Linked DNA regions of Notamacropus eugenii. The protein of the gene in region 1 binds, or shares a complex with, the protein of each later gene. Links are inferred from orthologs where the notes say so. Each region holds a gene or a part of one and is shown on either strand. Other genes may lie near its edges. The genes, in order: HSP90AB1 and FKBP4.

Region 1 (11,896 bases):
GCGTCTGTTGGTTGAGTCCTCATGGATTCCAAGCTTTGGAAAGAAAAGACATCACATATACATGTTAGTATAGGCTCAGCTAAGACCAGTGTTCTGTCATACTTCAGACAAGTATTCCAAAACCTACAAAGGAAAGTTATCTAACAACCTAGAGGTGCTCACCTTCAGGTTTTTTGAGAAGGCCTCATAAAACTTTTTGTAATTCTCTTTGTCTTCTGCCAGTTCAGAGAAGAGCTCTAGACACTTCTTGACAATGTTCTTACGAATGACCTTCAAGATCTTACTCTGCTGCAGCATCTCTCTGGAAATGTTGAGAGGCAAATCTTCAGAGTCCACCACACCTCGAATAAAATCTAGGAGAAAAAGGATAAAAATAACCCATCACCATGTTAGAAAATAATCGGTTTTTGCTTACACATGTCTAAAATGTTAGAATCTTCACAAAGCAAATAGTAAGCCCATTAAACGAATATTGCAAATAGGAACACTTACTAAGATACTCAGGAATAAGCTCATCACAACTGTCCATGATGAATACACGCCGTACGTACAGCTTAATGTTGTTCTTCTTCTTTTTGTTTTCAAAGAGATCAAAAGGAGCCCGACGGGGGATGAAGAGCAGAGCTCTGAATTCCAGCTGACCTTCCACGGAGAAATGCTAAGGAGGCAAAGAACAATTTTTCTCACCCTTAGTTCAGAAAACTGCTGCCTAGAGTTCAACATTTCTCCAAGGAGAAAAACCCTGCAAGATGACACTTCACAGAGACCCAAGACATAGTGTCAAGTATGACTGCTGAAAGTTCTACTAATATTCCAATAGAAAATCGAAAACAGCTCTTTAATGCAGTCAAGTCCATTTTGCATTTCATCTTGTCTGCACCAAATGTTATTGCCTTTCCCCTCTTACACTTTGGCCCTCAAGATTTTCATACCTTTACTGCCAAGTGATCTTCCCAATCGTTGGTGAGGCTCTTATAAAACTCGCCATACTCTTCTTGGCTGATGTCATCAGGGTTCCGTGTCCAGATGGGCTTAGTCTTGTTCAGCTCTTCCTGATCAATGTATTTCTCCTTGATCTTCTTGGTTTTCTTCTTCTTGTCCTTGCCTTCGTCTTCTTCATCAGATCCCACATCTTCAATCTTGGGCTTCTCCTCATCTTTGGCTGGTTCTTCCTCCTCCTTCTCTTTGTCTTCCTCTGTCTCATCATCGCTGATCTCCTTCTCCCGTTCCTTCTCCAACTAAGGGCAGCCAAAAACAAACAGTTCAGTTTGAATTAGGTCTGCATAGACTTATAAGCAAAAGTAATCTCAATGATTAAATTAAAAATAGCAGTCATCCCCTACGACTAACATAACTCATGTTGAGAAAGAATAAGAAAGAATATACACAAAGTGGTAGTTTATACTCACATAAAGTGTGATGGGATAGCCAATGAATTGAGAGTGCTTCTTTACAACCTCCTTGACCCGCCTTTCTTCCAGATACTCTGTCTGGTCTTCTTTCAGGTGTAAGATCACCTTGGTGCCCCTGCCAATAGGCTCACCTGAAACAAGAACCAGTGTCACATTAGTTGGAATAAGAACAAGGCCAAAACAAGCCTCTTAAGTTTCTTAACCTACATGTTTCAATTCAAAGAAATTTTAACCCACGTGAAGACAAACTAAGCTACATACATACCATGGTCAGCACGGACTGTGAAAGAGCCACCAGCAGAAGATTCCCAGGCATACTGTTCATCATCATTGTGCTTGGTGATAACAACTACCTTCTCTGCCACCAAGTAAGCAGAATAGAAACCCACACCAAATTGACCAATCATGGATATGTCTGCTCCAGCCTACATGAAATAACAAGGAGATATTGGAGATACAGAGGAAAAAAAGGTTCACATCAAGGAACCCTAGTGACAAATACAAGTATGCAGATGTCATACCTGCAAAGCCTCCATGAAAGCTTTGGTGCCAGATTTGGCAATGGTTCCCAAGTTATTGATCAAATCAGCTTTTGTCATGCCAATGCCAGTGTCTACCAAAGTCAGAGTACGCTCCTGAGGATTTGGGATGATGTCAATCTTTAGCTCTTTACCACTGTCCAATTTGGAAGGATCTGTCAGACTCTCATAGCGGATCTTGTCCAGCGCCTAGGAGAAAGAATACAACTCTATTAGCTATCCCTTTATCTTCTCTATAATTCAGAGTTTTCTAGCTTTCCACCTCTTTCTAAACACCATGAGTGTCGACTACTTGTACTACTTGTACTGTGCTCTTCAATTAGAATGATATTCACAGACTTGCTTAACCAAGACAGCTTTCTTTCAACCTATGATGCAAAAATCTCATAACCCCCTCTGTGGGGAGGAGTGACAACAGAAAACCTGATTAAGACCACCACCCTCCTCCTATTCCCTCCCCAGGTTACCATATTATCATCAATAGTAACACTTACATCAGAGGCATTGGAAATAATCTCTCGAAGAAAGATTTCCTTATTAGAATAAAAGGTGTTGATAATCAAGGACATAAGCTGGGCAATCTCTGCCTGGAAGGCAAAGGTCTCCACCTCCTCCTCTCCATGCTGTACTTCCTCAGGCATCTTTAAACATAAAAGGGTACAGTTAATCTAGAGTCTAATATCTGACCTCCCCCACAAGAATTATCTGAGAAAAACCAGTGACTCCTACCCAGATGCCAGGTTCAGTTAACTCAACAATTAAGCAGTCAAAAAACAACCCAAACACCAGACTTGGTTGTTTTGAGTCAGTTCAAGGACCCAGAGATGAAAAGCAAATGCCCTGTAGACTTTGAAATATTGGAGAAACGCTTCTATACTCTCCAGAAATCACTGAAGTCCAGTAACTTTTGACATCTGGGGGTAGAAACGACCTTTAAAGATTTCATTATTGCTTTTTAACAGCCTAGAATGTCTACTGCTGATGTTTTGGGGAAAAAAGCCCCCAGCTGAGATTCCCCAGAAAGAGAAATCCAATGGAAGTCTCTCCAACTCGGTTTAAAAAGGCACGCTAATTAATTAATAGGCTTCCCCGCCATTAAACATCCTCAATTCACACTACAATGGAAGCCCTTCAGCACCACTCCACCAGAGGCACCCGCCAAGCAGTGAAGCCCGCATCAGCATCCCCGGAGCCTAGCGCAGCGCTCGGGGCGGGGCCTGCCTGCCTCGTGCCGAGTAACACTAGGTAACAAATGGACGGGCAGCGGCCCCCGCATGGGGGAGGGGGAGGCCCACCAGGATAACGGCCAGGTCTAGCGCAAGGGATGACAAAGGATGCGGACAAAGAGCCAGTGTCCGCGCCTGCAACCCCGCTGAGTGAAACACGGCACCGCGGGGAGGGAGGAGTTCCCGCCTGGGGCCGATCCTCTAGGTCGGGAGGAGGAGACACCCCACCGCCTAAGGGGCACGATGTCCCCGCCATCCCCGCTTGGGGGCTCCGGCGCCATCCCAGCATCCGGGCACCTGGGCGGGGCGCGCGGCTCCAGAAGCTTCCAGAAGAATCTGGGCCCCAACGCGAAGGGAGGGGGGAGGGAGTCCCGGGAATGTTCCAGAACCTGCTCCTCCCTTCTCGAACCACCTCCCCCGCGGCCCCGCGGGCCCCCCCCCCAACGCGCTACTGAAAAATGCGGCCATGATGGCCAGGGAAAGTGGAGCACGGAAAGATACCTAGAGGACCGAGACAGTGATGCAACCGAAAAGCAAAGATGAAACCTGGCGAAGGACTCGCCCCCCCACCCCGGTGCTGAGTCACCCCAGCCTGCTCCCCCACACGCGCGCCGAATGCCCCTCTCGCTCCCCGTAGCCGCCGGAAGTGGAGGTGCGAGCCCAACATGGCAGCGTCCCGTGGGGACCGGCGCGGCCACCACGTGCTAACCCTAACCCCCCGGGAACGCTGCTGCCGACCAACCGGCCCCCGCGCGGCTGTCACTCCCTGCCCGAACCCTCCCTGAGGCTAGGAAGAAGAAAAGAGGCTGGGGGAGGGGAATAGCCTTACTCAGAAAAACCGAAGTCTGAACGGTCGGCGGGGATGGGGGGGGGGCATTAAAACCTTTGTGGGTAATAATATGAGAAAAAAGGCAGAGTAGAAAAGGAAGATAAGAGGTATTAGACGGGAATGTAGCGAATACGTCACCTTGAGCGATGGCAGACAAGCAGGCCGGGTCAGAGAAGGGCTGAGTCCAGCGGCTACGCACACCTCGCACCGTGAGGAGCTTGGCACAAGAGAAGCTGCCGGCCGCCCCCACCCGCCCTATATATTGGCAGCGCACCGATAGCGTCGGAGCTTCCCAGGCGAATCCCTCCGCCTTAAAGGGGCCGCCTCACAGACCGCGCACCTGCAGCCTCCGAGGGCGCCGCCGGCCTTCTCCTGCAGCTTCTCCCGGCCCCCCCTCCTTCTTTCCACATTGTACGCACATACAGATTATAGAAACGAAACTACTGGAATAGGCAGGAACCTTCTTTAGGGATCACGTTTATTTTACACATGAGGTCACTGAGGCCCAAGGTCACCCCGTTCGTACGAGTTTTGTCTGGCGGTTCGTGGTTTCCCACCCGTGAACCTGCCAGCTCCCAGAAAGCTCCCCGAGCCGTCGGCCCTGACCCTCAGCCGAGGCTTAACAAAGGTTCACCGATGGACTCACTGACGTAACCGGTGAACGGTCAGGACGGGGGCAGGGGCGGGGGCAGCCTCTCCAGCCGCACGGGGACGGAGCCAGGGGCTGGGGCGGGGCTGGGGGTCGCGAGACCCTCGCCGCGATCTGCCTTGGGGAGAGATGCTGGGACCTTGCCTGCGACAAGCGGCCACCCTCCAAGCTAGTGTCACCCTCCCCCCCACCTCGAGGAGGAGGGCTAAGCCACGAGGTAGCCTCGCTCTCCTGCCCTCGGGACCTACGTGGGGGAGAGGACAAACCGGGGTCGCGCAGAACAGCCCGGGGGCTTTTTCTGAACCGGTTTTGAGCGGCTGGGAGGGGTACACGTGGAGTGGCAGGGAGGTCAGGGCAGAGCTATGTCTCTGAAGGGTGGGGGGGCTCCCCGCAAAAGAGGTGGCCCCCACAAGGTAGGAGGGCAGTAAAGCCCAAGCTGGTTCCCCATCCCCACCCCCCCGCTCCAGCCCACGGGCAGAATGGGCTGGGGGAAGGGCGAGCTCTCCGGGACTCTTTGCCAAGGAGCTCGGCGGCGGAAGCCGAGCCTTTCTGCAGTGCGGCGGCATTTCCAGCAGTTTCCACGCCTGTCTAGTCGCATTCCCCGCCCCCTCTCCTTCCCCCCCCACTCCCGCACGCCGCCCCCCCACCTCCTCCCCTCCCTCCTCCTCCTCCCTCCCCCCCCACTGGGCCTGAGCTCTTCGTGCAGCGAGCCAAGGCGCCAATGCGGGCCTGGACCGGCCGCGGACTCATCCCCCGCATCCCCCGCATCCCCCGCATCCCCCGCATCCCTCCTGCGGCGTCCCCACTGCGCTCCATTTTCTATACCCCAGCCCCGGTCAAGTGCTTTGCCCGGCGCTCGGTCACACAGTAGGCGCATAATACATGCTTGTACCTCCCCTCCCCCTCTTCTCCCATTCCCTTTCCTGTAACCTCAATATCCAGAGTCCCATCCAGTGCCCCTCCCACGACTGGCCATCCCCACTGGAGGAACATTAGAGCAAGCCCCTCCCCGCGCCCCCCACCCCGACCCAACAACCCCCTTCTCCTCCACTACCCCTGAGGCTCCCACAGAGGGAGGGGGCCGGGGGCAGCGGGCTGAGCCGGGAGGGCTAATGGAGGGGAAGCTGCCAAGGTCCTGGGCGCCCCAGGGGCCCGGGGAAGCAGGGCGCACGTTGGGCCCAGCCCGTGTGCGGTGAGGTGCGCGGTATCTGCAGAGTCACCGCACACACGCGCACACTGGCACCCGCCCGTGGGGTCCACCTCGGCGGGCAGGCTAGGGCCAGGATTAAGAGATTTTGGAGAACGATCTGAGAAACCCCAAGGACGTTCCCGGGCTGCTTCTCCTGTACTGCCCCTAGATGCACAAGTCTGTGTGCAGCGAGTTCCCCAGCTCCCGACAGACAGGTGGGGGGTGGGGCAGAATTCAAGGCGGGGTACGGGGCTCAAACCGAGTCGAGGCAGGGCGCATCTATTAGATGTGCCAGACGTGGTGCCAAGTGTGGGGGATGCAAAGAAAGGAGAAAAGCCAACCCCGATCTCTCCCCCAGGGAGCCAGCTGCCACTCTAACGGGTCAATGAACAGGTGTATCAAGGCAGGGTGACTTCAGCCGGGAAGGCTCTAGGAATGGGGGATCCACCAGCTAGGGGATTGTGCTGCTGAGGTTTTCATCCGAAGGAAACCCAGAAAGGTAAGAGTTAGGAGGAGAGCATTCCAGGAATGCCAGACAGGTCCAGGAGACGGAGTGCAGTGGTGGCATGGGTAGAGCACTGGGCTTGGAATGGTCGGAAAGGTTCATCAGGTCTGGCCTCAGACACTTCACTCTGTTTGCCTCAGTTTCCTCATCTGTCAAATGAGCTGGAGAAGAAAATGGCAAACCCCTCCAGCATCATTGCCAAGAAGACCCCAGATAGGGTCATGAAGAGTCAGATATGATGAAAGTGACTGGACAATAGCAATCTCCTGTGTGAGCAAGGAGGGCAGTGTGGCTGAATCATTGAATTTGTGGAGGGAAGTAAGGTGTAAGAAGACTGGGAAGGTAGAAAGTGGCCAGTTTATGAGGAGCTTTAAAAGTAAAAGTACTTTATATTTTATCCTGGAGGTAGTGAAGTCATAGAGATCCAGGGATTCTGGAGGCTTCCTGGAGGGAAGCCACTGGAGCATGGTCAAACCTGCACTTTAGAAACCTGACTTTGGCAGGTGGATGTGGGATGGATGGAGTGGGAGGAGAGGAGGCAGAGAGACCAGTTTAGAAGATTATAGCTTTAATAGTAATTATAATAATAATAGGATTACACAAGTATCTGAGCAAGGTTTGACCTCTCAGGTCTTCCAAAGACAGGCCTGATAACCATAGGTCAGTGGCTATGTGAGTGAAAAGAACAGGACATATATACAAGAAGTGTGAAGGTAAAAATGATAAGACTTGGCAATGGATTCATGGAGTAGATGTGTGAGATGAGGGAGATAGAGAGCCTGGGTGATTAGGAGGATGGTGGCATCTTCTACATTTGGAAGAGGAGAAGGTTTCAGGGTTGGAGGAATGGATAATGAGTTCCTTTGAACTCATTTTTGAACATTTTGAATTTCAGGTACTTATGAGACCTCCAATTCAAGATTTTCAAAAGATAGTTGTTGATATGAAGCTGGAGCTCAGGAGAGAAGCTAGGTCTGGATATATAGCTCTAGCAGCCATCTTTGTAGAGATGATTTTTGAAACTGTGAGAGAGAGACAGCAAAAAGTTAAGTTTCCACAGAGGTACTAGTTGATGAAGTGACTGGGAATAAGATAATAAGAAAGCTAGCAGACTACAGGTGGACTCAGCCAATCAGAAGACAGACGGTGGCCTTCAGAAAATTACAAAGTTCTTGATAAAAGGGGACCAAATCTAAAACTAGCTTAAACTAGTCAAGGGAAATGAAGTAGAATAACTGGGAGAAAACTTTTCTTCACTGCGCTTGCTTAATGAACCTCATGCATATAAGCAGACACACCCCACATAAAATTATCCCCCATTTTCTGGTCATGGGTCCTATGGTGAAGCATGTTTGGGAGGAGGAATCACACCAAGGATGGTTACATAATGGGCATGTAAAGGTGGTGACCTAATGGAGAATGGACCAATCCATCTCCTGATGGGAAGATCTGTCCTGAACTGACAGTATAAAAATGCTCTCACTTCTGTATCCAGCACCTCCTCCTCCTGAAAAGGGAATTGGAGTCTGCTTTGGCCAGGGCTTTCAATTCCTCTGAACTCTACTGCAATAGATTTTCCTTGATACCTTTTTAGTATCAAGCATGTTTCTAACAAATCCATGGGAGCTGATGAGAGAGAAGAGGCAGAGTCCCACAATTAGCGGACATTATATGGATGACAAACCAGCAGGAGATGCTGATGGATAATCAGGAAGGAAGAGAACCAGGAGACAGCAGGGTCACAAAAGCCCAGAAAAGATTGAATATCTAGGAAGTAAAAGTGATTAATGTCAAATGCTTCAAGGCAGTCAGGAGGGATGAGGAATGAGAAAGGATTATTATATTTGTCAACTAAGAGAAGAATAGTTTTACCTGAGTGATGGAGTCAGGAGCCTGATTGCCAAGGATTTAGACCAGAGTAAGAGGAGAGGGGATGAAAGCAGAAGCAATGAATGTAGATGGTTTGGATTTTGTTTTGGTTTTTCTTTTTCTTTTTCTTTTTTACAGTTATAAAGGGGAGATATAGATACAAGAGGATAGCTAGCAGGGATGATGGGATCAAGTAAAGATTTTCTAAGGATGGAGGAAACATGGTATTGTTTATGGGCAATAGGGAAGGAGGAGAAAGAGGAGAGGGGAAGAAAGAGGAAGAGAAAGAGAGAGAGGGAAAGCAAAAGAAAGGGAGAGAAATGAAGAGAAAAAAGAAGAAAGGGAGAGGAGAAATAGAAAAAAGAGAGGAGAGAGGACAAGATAGAAAATGAAAGAGGCGAGAGATGGTGACAGGGAGAGAGGAAGGAAGAGATAGAAAAAAGAAAAGGAAAGATAGGAAAAGAGAGATCGATGATAAGAAGGAGCGAGGATGGTGAGAGGAGGGGCAGCAGTCTGTTGGGAAAGACTAGAAGGGTAGACTCAAGGAGAAGGGTTACCTCTTCATTAGTGACTGGAGTGAAGGAGTTAGTAGAGCAAGATATTTTCAACGAGGCAAGATGAGGAGTTCACAGGAAATGGCCTGAATTTTTTTCAGTAAAGTATGAGTTGCAGTCCTCTGACCGTGAGGGAAGGACATAGGAGACGTGAGAAGGTTTGGAACACCTGTTGTAGACGCTGGGTTCCTGAATCTGTGCAGGGAGGAGTAGATTGATTGCTTTGTTGCAATTCGGAAAGGTTGAGCTTTGATAACCTATCTGTAGTGAAGGTCCAGTCAGCAAAGTTTAGTGATTTCCTCCAGCTTCACTTGGCTGCAAGTAAATAGAAGTAAAGAAGGCCAGTCATTGGGAGTAATGAATTGAGGAGGAATTTGGCAAGGTGGGATCATGGCTAGGACAAGGCAGTTGAGTGTAGAGTTAAGCTGGCTCACCAAGGGGTCAAGATAAAGAAGGGAAGAAAGTGTAGCCAGGACAAGGCAGCTAGCCTGGGACTGAACTGAGAAGTGAAGGAACTAGAGGTCCCTGTGAGAACAAAACAACATTAAGGGAGGTAAGGTACAGAGAAAGACAGAATGACAAGACATGATCAGAGAGATTTTTGGAATTTTGAACATGGAAATGGAACATTTTTTTCATTGATTAGAAGTAGACATGCCTTTAGGAAGAATAATGATGATGATGATGGTAAAGATAAACATTCATATAGCAATTTAAGATTTGCAAAGTGTTTGACATATTATCTCATTTGGTTCTCCTGACATCTGTGAGAGGGAGGTGATATTATCTCCATTTTACAAATGGGGAAACTGAGGCTGTTTGGGATTTTTTTTTTTTTTGGGGGGGGGGTAGTAGTGTGGTGTTTTGGTTTTTTCCCATTGTTACATGAATGAGCAGAATTTGACCTCAGGTCTTTCCAACTCCAAGTCAGGGCCATCATTCACCATGTCCCCTAATTGCCCTACCATAGTTTCAAATTCAAGTTATTCCTATGAGAGGCTCAAGGCTGAAGAGAGAATGATTTCATAGGCCTCTCCTCTCCAGAGTATTTCAATGGCACTTTGATGGCTAAGTAATCTCACCAAATTGGGCATACCCCACTGCACTGGTAAAGATCATAACAAATCAGATGTTCCCAGATAGTTGATTCAGTGGACAGAGCACTGGACCTGGAGTCTGGAAGACAATGAGTTCAGATTTGGCCTTTGACTCCTCCTAGTCAGGCAAGTCACTTCACTTCTGTCTACCTCAGTTTTCTTGTAAGACAGGGAGAATAACAGCCCCTACCTCCGAAGGCTGTTACGAGGACCGAATGAGGTAACATTTGTAAAGTGCTTTGCAAAATGTAAAGGACTACATAAAAGCTAGCTGTTATTATCATAAAGCAATACGTAGCCCTGTATAACCCTGCACAGGTCTCCGTATGGAGCTGAGTGCCTTCCCCTAGAGCAGTAGCTCTCAAAGTATGGTTGCAGGGACCCTCAGGAGTCTTCAAAAAGTTTTTAGGGCTCTTTGGGGTCAAAAATATTTTCAAAATTTTACTGAGACATTTAAATTTCAAATATGGTAATTATTGATAGGTAATCCACTCTTGGGGTTCTTTAGGGGATCCTCAGCAATTTTTTTGATGTTACTTTTTTAAAATTAATTTATTTGTTTAGGATTTTCAACAATCCCTTCCCTATGTTTTAAATTTTCTCCCCCTCCCTCCCCAAGATGGTGTGCAATCTTATTGGATTCTGCACATACATTCTTATTAAACACATTTTCACATTAGCCACATTGCATAGGGTCCTCAGCCATTTTTAAGAGTGTAAAGGGGTCCTCAGACCAAAAAGTTTGAAAAGAGCTGACATTACTTGAGGATGAGTTGGGGCTTTCATAATCTGATCAGGAAGAGGTCAGAAAGGTCATTTGCTTAGCTCAAAGACTTCAGACTAAGCAAACATAATAACAATAACCTGTTCAATCCTTTAAAGTTTACAGTGTACTTTATATTACCTCACTTTGTTTTTTAAGCTTAATTCATATTTTTTTTTAAATAACACATTGATTTCCATATATGTCCTTGCCCTCATTTCCTGCCCAGAGAATTTTCTGGTGATGTAGTTTTGTTTTTTTTAAATATTCAGCAAAACCAGTCAACAGACCTTGAACAGCAAATGAAACACCTCACATACATAAATTCACCACCTCAGCAAAAGGGAGATACATTTTTCTCTTCTCTGGGGTCAATCATGGTCATTATAATTTTCCAGTGTTTAGTTTTTATTGTCAATTCCATTTACATTGCTGCAATTATTGGGAAAATCATTTTCCTGGTTCTGCCTACTTTGCTTTGTATTATGTGTTCATATATGGCTTCCTGTGCTTCTCTGAATTCCTCATTTTTGTCATTTGCTATGGAGCAATAATATTCTATTATTATTGTATAAGACATAGTACCAGATGCTGTTATACAAGCAAAAAACAATCCCTACCCTGTAGTAGCTGATAATCTATTGGAGGGTGAAGGGGAAGGGGTATGATGAGGAGAATCATGATAACGTATTCTGCCTACAAGGTATTCTGTATATTAAGAGCGATCTTCCTTGCTGTTCCTTCCTTCCTTTCTCCTTCCCTCCTTACCTTCTTTCCTTCCTCATTCTTTCTTCTCCCTTTCCTTTCTCCCTCCCTCCCCTCTTACTTCCCCCTTCTCTTTCTTCCTTCCTTCCCTCCCTCCTTCCTTTTTTTTCTCCTTAAACAACATGGGTGGCTCCCCATTCCCAAGGGCATATCATATTTATGCCTGATTGACTTAGCCAAGTGCAGCTTAGAACTTCTGAGCTGACAATTACAAATATGGAATGCCACAACCAGCTTCTTATTTATTTTTTAATGGTTCTACCAGAATTAATATCAACAGTTATACTGTAATATAGGAATGACTGAAGGGTCAGTAATTTCATCTGCTGGAGAGCCTGGTATAGGTACTCCCTGCACCATAGATGGCAATCCTTGTCTGGGACTTACCCGAGCTCACCCCCACTCTTCTAAATCTTAGGGAGTTGTCTGAAGCATAGGGAAGTACCCAGGGTAACTGAGCTAGGGGGCAGAGGTTAGATTTGAATTCAGGTCTTCCTGA
Region 2 (11,223 bases), on another chromosome or scaffold:
ACCATCCTCATCCTCAGTAAGATCCTCACCCTTAAAATCAAATAGTTCCACCTACAGGAGAGATCAGTTGTAAGTGCAGGGAAGGAGGAAAGTATCCCAGCCTTCTCATCTTATAGATAAGGAACCTGAGGCTTAGGGAGAACAAACCACTTGCCCAAGGTGACACAAGGAGTCAGTGTCAGAGGCAACATCTGCCTCCAAAGCTGGTGTTCTTTCCACTGTACCAGAGGACAGAATTTGCCCTTTTCCTCACCCTCTCATATGAGCCCTTTACTCCTTACTAACATTTCCTTTCTAGTCTAGCAAAAGGCTCTGCAATTCCATGCCAGCTTCTGATGGAAAGATGGGAACCATACTTGGGAGGTCAGGAGGATAGATCATTTCCTCATCAACCTGGCTCAATATCCAAGCATGACTATCTGATTTTAGTCAACATCAGTGTTGGTCTCCAACTATCTAGATCTAGTTCATCAAAAGAGAGCACACTTTTCTAATCCCTTCTAGCTCCCTGATTAGGACCTATGTGATAGGTCTTAAAATGTCTAATCTAGAGATCACTGAAATCAACAGGGTAGGTGACTCCTTCACAAACCCTCAAATGGTAGTACTATCTGTGAGATACAATGGCTGAAAAATTCATCCCTGAAGCCCACCTAGTAATGAAGCTGTCCAAGTTTATTTCTACTTTTAAGGTAAGAAGTCCATCACTGTACTCATGTCAGACTTTGTCCTCTATTTATCTGCAAATTGATCCCTTACTGATCTAGACTTTATCTGATGGCTGTCAGGACATTGTGCTCTAAAATGTGCTACCTTGGATGGTTTTTACCTTTTCTCTGTGTGTATTCTAAGTCACTGGCCAGGTGGTCAGCAGGGAGGGTAGGAATGACCTTTTCTTTCTCCACATTGCTGCATGCTTGGGGTAGGATGTTCTCAAGTAAGCATGCTGATTTGGAGCAGGCAGGCAAAGGACAAAGAAACTCATGTGCTGAACGCTCTCATCACTTCCTGAGATAAGCAGGAGAATGCCCAGGCTGGTAACGGCAGTAGCCCAGCTATAATTCCTACCCATCTTGGAAGAGGCAGCTTCACCTTATGTCCTCCCACTAGGCCAGGCCCTTAGCCTTAGCCACAATGTTTCCAAGTCAAACGGGCTGGAGGACAGCCAGACAGTGAGGAGGAGATAAAGCCTGGCTCTTATTCTTTCTGTTTTGGATATTACTCTTTCTATTTCATGGCCTATCACTCACCTCAAACACCAGGGTAGTATTGGGGGGGATCATGGGAGGGCTGCCAGATGAGCCATAGGCATATTCTGGTTTGCAGGTGATGCGGCAGACTTCTCCAATTTTCATGGTGGCCACGGCTATGTCCCAGGCTTTGATTACCTCCCCTGCAGACACAAAATACATTAGGTTCCCCCCCCAGCACCTTATCTGAGGTTTTGTCAAAGGCCAACAGGCTGTCCTAAGAGGTACCCAACAAGCCAAAACTGACCCCCCCCTCTTTTGGATGAGACCAAGTAAGTAGGAAGTCCCATCCCCCACTAACTGTTATAAACTCCCCAAAGTCCAAATGGGGCAAAAACTGTTGCTTTTTAATCCTTATATTTAACCCTTAACCCAATTGTCCAAGAAGATAGCCAGAGAAGAACTATGTTCTACTGCCTCCAAAGTCCAGAAGATTAAGATAGAAATCATCACAGATGCGGAGAAATGGAGGGAAGAATTCAGTGAAGAAAATGGAGGTGACAATAAGAAAAGGGAAACATAAGAAGGACAAAAAGATCCTTGAGTCTGCAACAAGTAATGCTGCCCTGTGTCTAGCTAGGCCTGGACCTAGGAGGACCACTGGAGTGTTACCACTAGCTGGCTCACCACAACTCAGGACACTCCTTAGCCATCAAGTTTACCTTTGCCTAAGTCAAAGGAGAACTTGTCCTTTCGATCCAAGCTGGAGTCAAATTTGGTACCGTCCAGCAGCCAGCCAGTATAGTGTACGCTAACCTTGTCGCCGATCATGGGAGTCTCAGTGCCTGTCCCTTCTCGCTTGATCACCTACGAGTGAAAAGTACATTCACATCTTCATCACCAGTCCCTCCCATCAGAGGCTATGAGTCACACCCCTTGTGGGGAGAAGACCCTCAGCTAGGATCTATTATCAGTCCCCAAATTAACCTCTTCCTCCTCACAGGGGAAGGTGTATGCACAGGAAGATCTCCTCTTCCCTGATACAATATAATTCAAAGACTGGAACCTGAGCCAAAAGATTGGGTTAAAATTTCAGCTCTCCTACTTATTATTTGTCTGGTTTTGGATAAATTCTATCATCTACTAGGGCTTCAGTTTCCTCATCTATAAAATGAAGAATCTGAACTCAATGATCTTTGAGGCTGCTTCCAGCATTAATGACAGCAAAAACATTACAGCAACAACAATAACATTAACAACCAGTCTTTATATACCACTTTAAAGTTTGCAAAGTGCTTTACCAGTGTTCTCATTTGTTCCTCACAGTAACCCTGGAAGTGCAGTCATTTGTATCTTACTCCCTGACAGGTACTCTTTGATCCAGTGACACAGCTCTTCTGGTGGTCCCACAAATCAGACACTCCATCCATCTCTCTGCCTCTGGCATTTTCCCTGGGCCATCCTCCAAGACTGGAACACCCTCCCTCTTCTGCTCTAACCACTGACCTCCCTGGCTTCCTTGAAGTCCCAACTAAAACCTCACCTTCTACAGGAAGCCTTCCTCAACCCCTCTTAATTCCTGTGCCTTCCCTCTGTTCATTATTTCCTACTTATCCTGTATATAGTTTCTGTGGTATATATTTGTTTACATGTTGTCTCCCCTGCTGGACTGTATAGAGGGCAGGGACTGTCTTTTACCTTTTTTTGTATTTCCAGTGCCTGGCACAGAGTAGGTGCTTAATGAATGGTGTTTGATTATCCCCATTTTTATGATGAAACTGAGGCTGAGGTTAAATGCCTTGCCCAGGTTCATACTAAGACAATAAGTATCTGAGGTTGCATTTGAACTCGGGTCTCTTCTTGACCCCAGGACCAGTGTTCTCTTACCCATTTGGTAAGAATCCCAAGTCTTCCTGCCTTTGAGGTCAGCATTCTATCCACTACATCACACTGCCTCTTATGAACTTGTCTGGCCAACAAGAAAACAGGGACTGATTTGGAAGGAAGGAAAAGGGAATAAGGAATCAGAACTGAGAGAGATAAACCTAAGGTGAAAATGACAAGGATCTAGAGAAAGCAGAATGGGAAAAAAACCAAACAAACCAAAAGCCTGGATTGTGCCAAGAGAGGGGAAGCAGATGAATTATCAATAAAATGGAGATGTAGGTGTAAACACAATTCATACATAACCTTGGCCTTGGAACAAATGACCTTGGACTTTTCTAGGGCCTTTCTGTTCCAGTCTGTCTTTCTGTTCTGAATTTTGAATGACTGTTTAGAAGTCTTAAGATTTTGCCACTGTACCTTTGGGAATCTCACCACAACTAACTATAAACTGGTAACTTTCTGGGCTCATTTCAAGAATCCTATCTCCCTCTACCTACCTTCATACACAGAAAGGGAAAAGTTTTCGAGGTATGGGCATTTCTGGGACACTGGAAGGGAAGATGAGCCAATCTGTTTGTGAAGAGGTAGACCCTCAAAACCCAGACAAGATTAAATAACCTGAGTGGAGTGACCTCCACGCGGTAGAATCGGCAAATCTCCACAATGCCATGGTTCTGGGCCATTTCCATGGACTCAGGACACTGCTATTTCCTTTCCAGAACTTCTAAAAAGATAGATTTCCTTGTGGGCCACCAGGCAAATACCTAATTGTTCTCTCCAGGGAGTTTCTCCCCTACCCTGAAGAAGAATCAGACCTCAACAGAATTAATCTTAGCTTCTTTGGATAGGGGACTTAGGGAAGAGAGAAGCAGGGAAGGGGAAGCAAGGAGTAATAATCCTTTCTTAAAAAAGGCCTTTTAGGAAAGAAAGAGGGTCCCTCTCTCAGTGTGTGTATGTGGTGGGGGGGGGGAGGAAGGGAGCATTTGCCTCCCAGAAAGAGAGGACAAAATTCAGTTCATGAACCTCTAAATCCTAGAATTCAGGTCAGGTCCCCAGCTCCAAAGGTTAGGTGACCGGTGATACACGGTAAGAGGGGAGCCCGGGGGGAGGAGCGGGAACCTGAAGATTGAATTTCATGCCATGCTGGATGCCTGCCAACCCTCTCTAAAGCCTGTTCCAATCACCCCTGGGCTGCTCCGACCCAGGTCAAGATGCTCAGGCCCGCACAATGGCCTCGCTTGGCTATCAGTTCTTCCACTTTATTCAGTAACTGCAGCCGAACCTCACGTCCTGCCCTTCCCTCGGCGGGGGTGGGGGTGGTGACAGAGGGCAGGAGGGTAACCTGATCCTGGCTACACCGCAGAGGGAGGGGTCAGCGGCAGGACCCGGGTGCCAGGGCGGAGGGCCGTGCAGCGCACACCCTCCGCTCCCCTTGGGTCCGCCTGAGTCCCGAGAGGCCCCAGGACCGGGTAACGGCGGTCCCGCAGGGCCCCGACAGCCCGGCTAACGTTTAACTGACCTGGCCGGCTCCGGCCACCTTATCCACCAGCGCGGGCTACCGGCTCCTAAGCTCCAGAAACATCTTCGGTGGAAAGGGGGTTCAGGGGAGCTCAAGGCTCGACCCCGGCTAGCCTGCAGCCCGCGGGCACTCCGGGGCTCTCGGGCCATCGCGGCCCCACCTCCTCTCCCCCGGATCCACGCTGGGGGGCCGGGCCGGCCCAGCGGCGGCGGGCGGCATGGGTTCGGGTCCTGCCTGCGCTCCCACCCCGGCTGGGGGCTCCCACCCGCCTTCCTCCCCCAGATCTTCCCCGTCCGTGAGACGGAGGGGAATGCGGGCTTCTGCTGTGCCAGGTCCGGGGGGGGCACGGCCGCCGCGAGGTGGCATTGGCAGCCCGCCCCCGGGGCCCGGGGAATGCCCGCGTGGGCTGAAGCCCGTGCCCCGCGTGGAGGCCTGAGCATGTGCGGCAGGCCCGTCTGCTTCCCCCGCCCAGACCCGACCTAAGGCTGCCTCCTGCCCCGCGGGCCACGCGCGGGTACCTTCAGCACGCCTCCATCACGTTTGGGGGTAATGTCCACCCCCTCCAAAGGCAATGGGGCCGACTGCGCGGTGCTCTCCGCCGCCTTCATCTCCTCCGCGGTCATCGCCGTCCACAGAGCCTCCTTTCAGTCGTGAAGCTGGGGCCCGGGAGCCGAGCCAAGCCGCTCCCCGTCTGCCTGGGCCGGGTGGCTGCGAGCACGGTGGGAGTGGGGCTGCGGCGCGGCCGGGCCGGGGCCGGGCAGCGCGCGGCTCACTTGCTCCTTCTGGAAACTCCCTTTTCCCGAGGAAGACGGGGAGGCGGCGAGCCGACTGCGGGGGCCAGGCCCGGGGCGGCGCGGAGCGGCGGCGCGGTGCGGTGCGGTGCGGTGCGGCGCGGAGCGGAGCGGAGCGGAGCGCACGGACCAGGCAACTACGAGTGCGGACCGTGTGGCTGCTGGGGAGAGGTTGGTCCCACCCCGCACCCGCCGCCGCCGGGGGCGGGGCTGGGAGGAGCCAGGGGAGGGGAAAGGGAGGGCGGCCGAGGAGGAGAAGTTTCCAGAGGCGGCGTCCGCCCCGCCGGTTTGGCCCCTGCGCCCACGCAGAGGGCATTCAGATATTCCGACCCTCCCCCAACCTGAGCCGGGGAAGGGGGGAACCCCCACCGACACCCTCGGTTCTCTGGACTCGACCCAACAACGCCTTCTCTCCGGACGCCCTGCCACCCATCCCCCTCCCCTCCCGCGCTCCCTCCTCCGGGCTTAAACGGACTCTTCCAGATCCTTCTCGATCAGGCTGGAGCCTTCCCCAGCTCATTCAAAACCCGTCCTTGCCCCAGTTCGGTTTGTGCTGTGCGGAGAGGCCGGCTCCCGGCACGTGGCGAGAGAGGCCGGGGAGCGGGCGCCCGGGGGCGGCCCTGGGCCCCCTGGCCGCTCTCAGCCTTCGCGGGCTCGGGCGGTGGTGGTGGTGCTCGGAAAGCTGCACCTGGGCGGCGGGCTGCTCTCCCTGTCTCCCTCTCTCCCTGTCTCCCTGTGTCCCTCTCCCTCTCCCTCTCCCTCTCCCTCTCCCTCTCTCTTTCTTTCTTCCTTTCTTTCTGTCTCTCTGTCTGTCTCTCTCTCTCTCTCTCTCTGTCTTTCTGTCTCTGTGTCTGTGTCTCTGTCTGTCTCTCTCACTGTCTGTCTCTGTCTCTCTCTCTGTCTCTATGTCTGTCTCTCTGTCTCTCTGTCTCTGTCTTTCTTTCTGTCTCTGTCTCTTTCTTTCTGTCTCTGTCTCTCTGTCTCTCTCTCATTCTCTCTCTCTCTCTCTCTCTCTCTCTCTCTCTCTCTCTCTCTCTCTCTCTGTGTCTCTCTCTCTGCCTGCCTGTCTCTCTTTCTGTCTCTGTCTCTCTTTCTTTCTCTCTCTGCCTCTCTGCCTCTCTGTCTCTCTGTCTGTCTCTCTCTCTCTCTCTCTGTCTTTCTGTCTCTCTGTCTCTGTGTCTCTGTCTGTCTGTCTCTGTCTCTCTGTCTCTCTGTCTCTCTCTCTCTCTCTCTGTCTCTCTCTCTCTCTGTCTCTCTCTCTGTCTCTCTCTGTCTCTCTCTGTCTCTCTCTGCCTGCCTGTCTGTCTCTGTCTCTCTGTCTCTGCTGACCTGCCCAGGTACATACTTTTCGGGAAAGGAAAGAATGAACCCCGTTTCCCCAGCCCCCTCCAGACCAGTCCTCCAGAAGCACCTGGCGCAGAGCTCGCCCGGTCCTTTCGGACCTCCCTGCTCCTCCGTGGGTCCCAGCAGCGGATCTCGTACAACAATAAGGGTCTGCCTTCCCGGCCTAAGGCGAGCCCCGCCGCCAAAAGCAGAAACGTTTCAAACACACCGAACATCCATTCTGGGAAGTGAAGGGGGAAGGATTTTTTGTTTTATAGTTCACAAACGTTTAGTGACCACGCAGGATGTGCACTATATTATAGAATAAACCTAAAATAACATTGATGTCAACAAACACATTGTTGCTAATATACAGAGGTTATCTTTGGAGTCAGGAAGGGCTGGGTTCGAGTCCTGTATGATTTCTGGGCAAATGACCTCAGAAAATGGAGACTTTATATAACCAATTCTAAGGGAGTTCTTTCTGCCAATGAAACCATACGTTCACCTACACCCCACTCAAAAAAAATTACAAGAATACCATACTAAAGTCTGGAGAAAGAAAAAAGTGAAATATGAACATATGGATAAATTTATTGCTTATTAATTAAAATAATAACATCATTATTGCCCTCATGGAGCTTTTCATCTGCAGTAGGGAGATGATATGTAAACATATATTCAGGGATGAGCACGTTAGGAGGTGCAAAACAAGATTCTCTGGAGTCATTCATTGAACAGACTGCATAGTTTGACTCAGGGGCGGGGAACCTATAGCTCTGAAGGCACATGTGGCCTTTTAGGTCCTTAGGTGGGTCCAAGTCTTACAGAACCCCTAGTCTGGCTTCAGCCTACCTTCAACTACTTCACACCCTACAATCCAGTCAAATTAACTTACTTACTGTTCACGGGTTTCATCTCCATTTATGTGCCATTGCAAATGTAGTCTGTGGATAAGGGGATGGCCAAATAGACAGACCTGATGTGGATACATTTGAACCCAAGGTAAGACTGTATCCCTTAGCTAAGACTCCCAAGGCTTATCCAGCTACGGCTATTATTTAACGCAGAACATTTAAAGTCCATAAATTCATATTCATCCACTAGAGCAAAACGTCTCCCCTGTTCAGTAATAATACAGTGGTTTAATTTTCCTCATCCATGTCATTAAGATGTTAAAAAGTTTTGAAATATAGTCTTTCATGAAGCCTCAAAATATTTCTAGTGAATTTAGTACTTTAGCTTTTGTTTCCAGCCACATAGCTTCCTTTGCTCAGTCATTACCATGTAGATTTGGTGGGTTGGAAGGGTATGCCCTAAGGCAGGCAGACAGGCATTATCCAGAGCACCCCAGAGTCTTCTGGCCTAGGCCTTGACCTTGAAGAATGGGTACCAATGAGAAAGGGTACATTTTAGGTACACCTTGAACTAGCACGCCCTGAGGCAGGCACACAAACTTGGCCCACGACATCTTTTCTCTTCCATTCATGGAGCAACAAAAGGCAATTCCTTTTTACCTGTTGAACCATTTACTTCCTGTTTCCCTCAGACTTGGTAGAAGGAGGGAAGAAAGCCTTTTGTCCCTTCTCCATAACAAGCAAAGCAGCATGCATTGGAAGGTTTTTTTTTTGATGCTTGTTCTTGTTTCTGTGCTGTTTGAAGCTTTTATTTGAAAACACATTTTCTTTGTCTCTCTCTCCTTTCTGTCTCCTGTCTGTCTGTATCTCTGTCTCTGTTTGTCTCTTATCTAAGGTGGTCTGACCATGAATGCTTGCAGTGGGATTGACAAGAAGGTAGAACTCAAGTCAGGCTGGTTGGGAGCAGAGCTGATGAGGGAGAAAAGGCATTTATAACTAATAATAATGTTTCAGAGTTCGTGTATTTAGATCATACCTCCTGAAGCAGGGGTGGGGAACGTGTGGCTCAGAGACCACATGTGACCCTCTAGGTCCTCGAGTGTGGCCCTTTGACTTAATCCAAACTTCACAGAACAAATTCCCTTAAAAAAAGATTTGTTTTGTAAAATTGTAAAGACCTGGAAGCCATAGGTTCCCCACCCCTGCTGGATCTTTAAGTTTTTGAATTTGAAAAAAATGTAAAAAGAAAATGATCTGAAAAAGTTCATTGGGGCAGCTAGGTAGTGCAGTGGACAAATTACTGGGCCTGGAATCAGGAAGATCTGAGTTCAAATCCAGCCTCAGATTCTTCCTAACTGTAAGACCTTGGACAAGTCACTTAACTTTTACCTCAGTTTCCTCATCTGTAAAAATGAGGATATAATAGCAATTCCAGGGTTGTTGTCCCAGGAGGATCAAACAATATAATATTTATAAAGTGCCTGGCACATGGTAGGTGCTATACATATTAGCTATTATTGTCATTATGAATTAGTCACAAGCTTTGCTAGGTTTGGTGATGATTTTTCTTCTTTTCTTAAATTTATTTATTTTTAGTTTTTAACATTCACTTCCATAAGCTTTTGAGCTTTACATTTTCTCACCCTTCCTCCTTCCCCTCCCCGCTTCCCAAGATGGCATACAATTTGACATAGGCTCTACATATACATTCATATCAAACATTTTCACATTAGTCTTGCTGTAAAGAAGACCCAATGGGAACCAATGGGAAGAACCATGAGAAAGAAGAAACAACAGCAAAAAAAGAGCAAATAATAAGAAGCAAAACGAAAAACAAAGCCACAATAACAAGTAAAGAGAGCAGATAGTCTGCTTTGATCTGCATTCAGACTCCAGAGGTCTTTCTCTGGCTGTTGATGGCTTTTTCCATCGTGAGTCTTTTGGAGTTGTTTTAGATCCTTGCATTGCTGAGAAGAGCCAAGTCTATCAAAGTTAGTCATCACACAGTGTGGCTGTTTACTATGTAGAGTGTCCTCCGGGCTCTGCTCCCCTCACTCAGCATCACTTCATAGAAGTCTTTCCATGTTTTTCCAAAGTCTGCCTGCTTATCATTTCTTATAGCACAATAGTATCCCATTACATTCATATACCACAACTTGTTCAACCATTCCTCAGTTGATGGGCATTCCCTCAGTTTCCAATTCTTGGCCACCACAAAAAGATCTTCTATAAATATTTTTGTGCATGTCAGTCTTTTCCTCGTTTTTATGATCTCTTTGGGATACAGACCTAGAAGTGATATTGCTGGATCAAAAGGTATGCACAGTTTTATAGTTTTTTGGCCATAGTTCCAACCTGTTCTCCAGAATGTTTGAATGAGTTTACAACTTCACCAATACATTAGTGTTCCAATTTTTCCACATCTTCTCCAGCATTTATCATTTTCCTGTTTTGTCATGTTAGTCCATCTGATAGGTGTGATGTGGTACCTCAGAATTGCTTTGATTTGCATTTCTCTAATCAAGAGTGATTTAGAGAGTTTTTTCATGATCGTATATAGCTTTAATTTCTTCATCTGAAAACTGTCTGTTTATATCCTTTGACAATTTATTAATTGGGGAGTGACTTGTATTCTTATAAATTTGACTCAGTTCTCTATATATTTTAGAAATGACGCCTTTATGTGAATGGTTTTTCTTGAGCATAAACTGGCACTGAAATGACTGATGACTAGTGTTAGAATATACCTTAGGGTTAAGGCTACCATTAACCTCACGTAGCTTTAAGTACCTTTGAGACACACCTAAACCATGGATCCTCTCTTTCTCATGGGCCATGGGGCCTTATATTCAAGACAACCATCCTCAAGATGGCAGGAAGGTCAAGAATCATGCAAATTTTATTAACACCATTTTACAAATAATGAAAAGATAATTTAGAGGGGTTAAGGTGACTTGTCCAAAACCACACAGTTAGTAAACAGAAGACCTTTTCACCTTTATTCAATAATTTATACAGTTGCTGACAGGAAAGGCTAGAAAGAGAAGTGCTTTGTTCTAATTTTGTAATAACCAATTTCATAATAACAGAGCCTTTCATTCTTTCTGGTATCTGTTCTGTTGTTCATGTAGAGTCTTTTCTACCCAATTTAGCACTTCAGTATATAGAACAGCTGGGTGGTACAATGGATTGAGTGTGTTGGACTTGGAAGACCTGAATTTGAATCCTGAATTCCTCATTGTGTGACTCTAGGCAAGTCACTTAACTTCTCAGACTGTTTCCTCATTTGAAAACCAAGGATAAAATAGCAATAAATAGAATTGAGACACTAGTTACTGGTGACTAATAATAGGGAGGACACACTGGAATGGGGGATCAGTAGTACTCTTTGAATGTAGTAGGGAGATGCAGCAGACATAACTCTTGGAGAATAAGGTCAGACAATACTTGCAGTGGATTATCTTAAATGTGTTTACACATACTTTGTATCTGCCTGTGTGTTGTCTCCCTTTAGAATGTAAGCAGGAATTATTTCCTATTTACCTTTGTGTCCCCAGTGACTAGCACAGCCTCTGGTACATCTAATAAATGCTTGCTTGATTGGTTATTTGATAACATGACTATTATAAAAAGAAGATTCTGCACCCTCTCCCCAT

The links.
Region 2: the proteins of HSP90AB1 (region 1) and FKBP4 are in contact, whole or in part, in a crystal structure (PDB 1QZ2), measured with the Homo sapiens proteins. The link is inferred for Notamacropus eugenii from reciprocal best matches to the Homo sapiens genes HSP90AB1 and FKBP4. Residues at the interface, in NP_001258898.1 of Homo sapiens: Met720, Glu721, Glu722, Asp724; in NP_002005.1 of Homo sapiens: Lys282, Asn324, Met327, Lys354, Arg358, Lys387.

Annotation. Positions count from the first base shown.
Region 1 is NC_092873.1:107,730,621-107,742,516, reverse strand, and holds the start of HSP90AB1 (heat shock protein HSP 90-beta), read right to left. Parts: upstream 4,846-11,896; 5' UTR 4,145-4,845; intron 2,593-4,144; coding exon 2,446-2,592; intron 2,141-2,445; coding exon 1,934-2,140; intron 1,838-1,933; coding exon 1,678-1,837; intron 1,544-1,677; coding exon 1,410-1,543; intron 1,239-1,409; coding exon 933-1,238; intron 659-932; coding exon 493-658; intron 354-492; coding exon 163-353; intron 34-162; coding exon 1-33. UniProt on the Homo sapiens protein: Molecular chaperone that promotes the maturation, structural maintenance and proper regulation of specific target proteins involved for instance in cell cycle control and signal transduction. Undergoes a functional cycle linked to its ATPase activity.
Region 2 is NC_092874.1:203,103,834-203,115,056, forward strand, and holds the start of FKBP4 (peptidyl-prolyl cis-trans isomerase FKBP4), read right to left. Parts: upstream 5,579-11,223; 5' UTR 5,220-5,578; coding exon 5,115-5,219; intron 2,058-5,114; coding exon 1,913-2,057; intron 1,394-1,912; coding exon 1,251-1,393; intron 52-1,250; coding exon 1-51. UniProt on the Homo sapiens protein: Immunophilin protein with PPIase and co-chaperone activities. Component of steroid receptors heterocomplexes through interaction with heat-shock protein 90 (HSP90).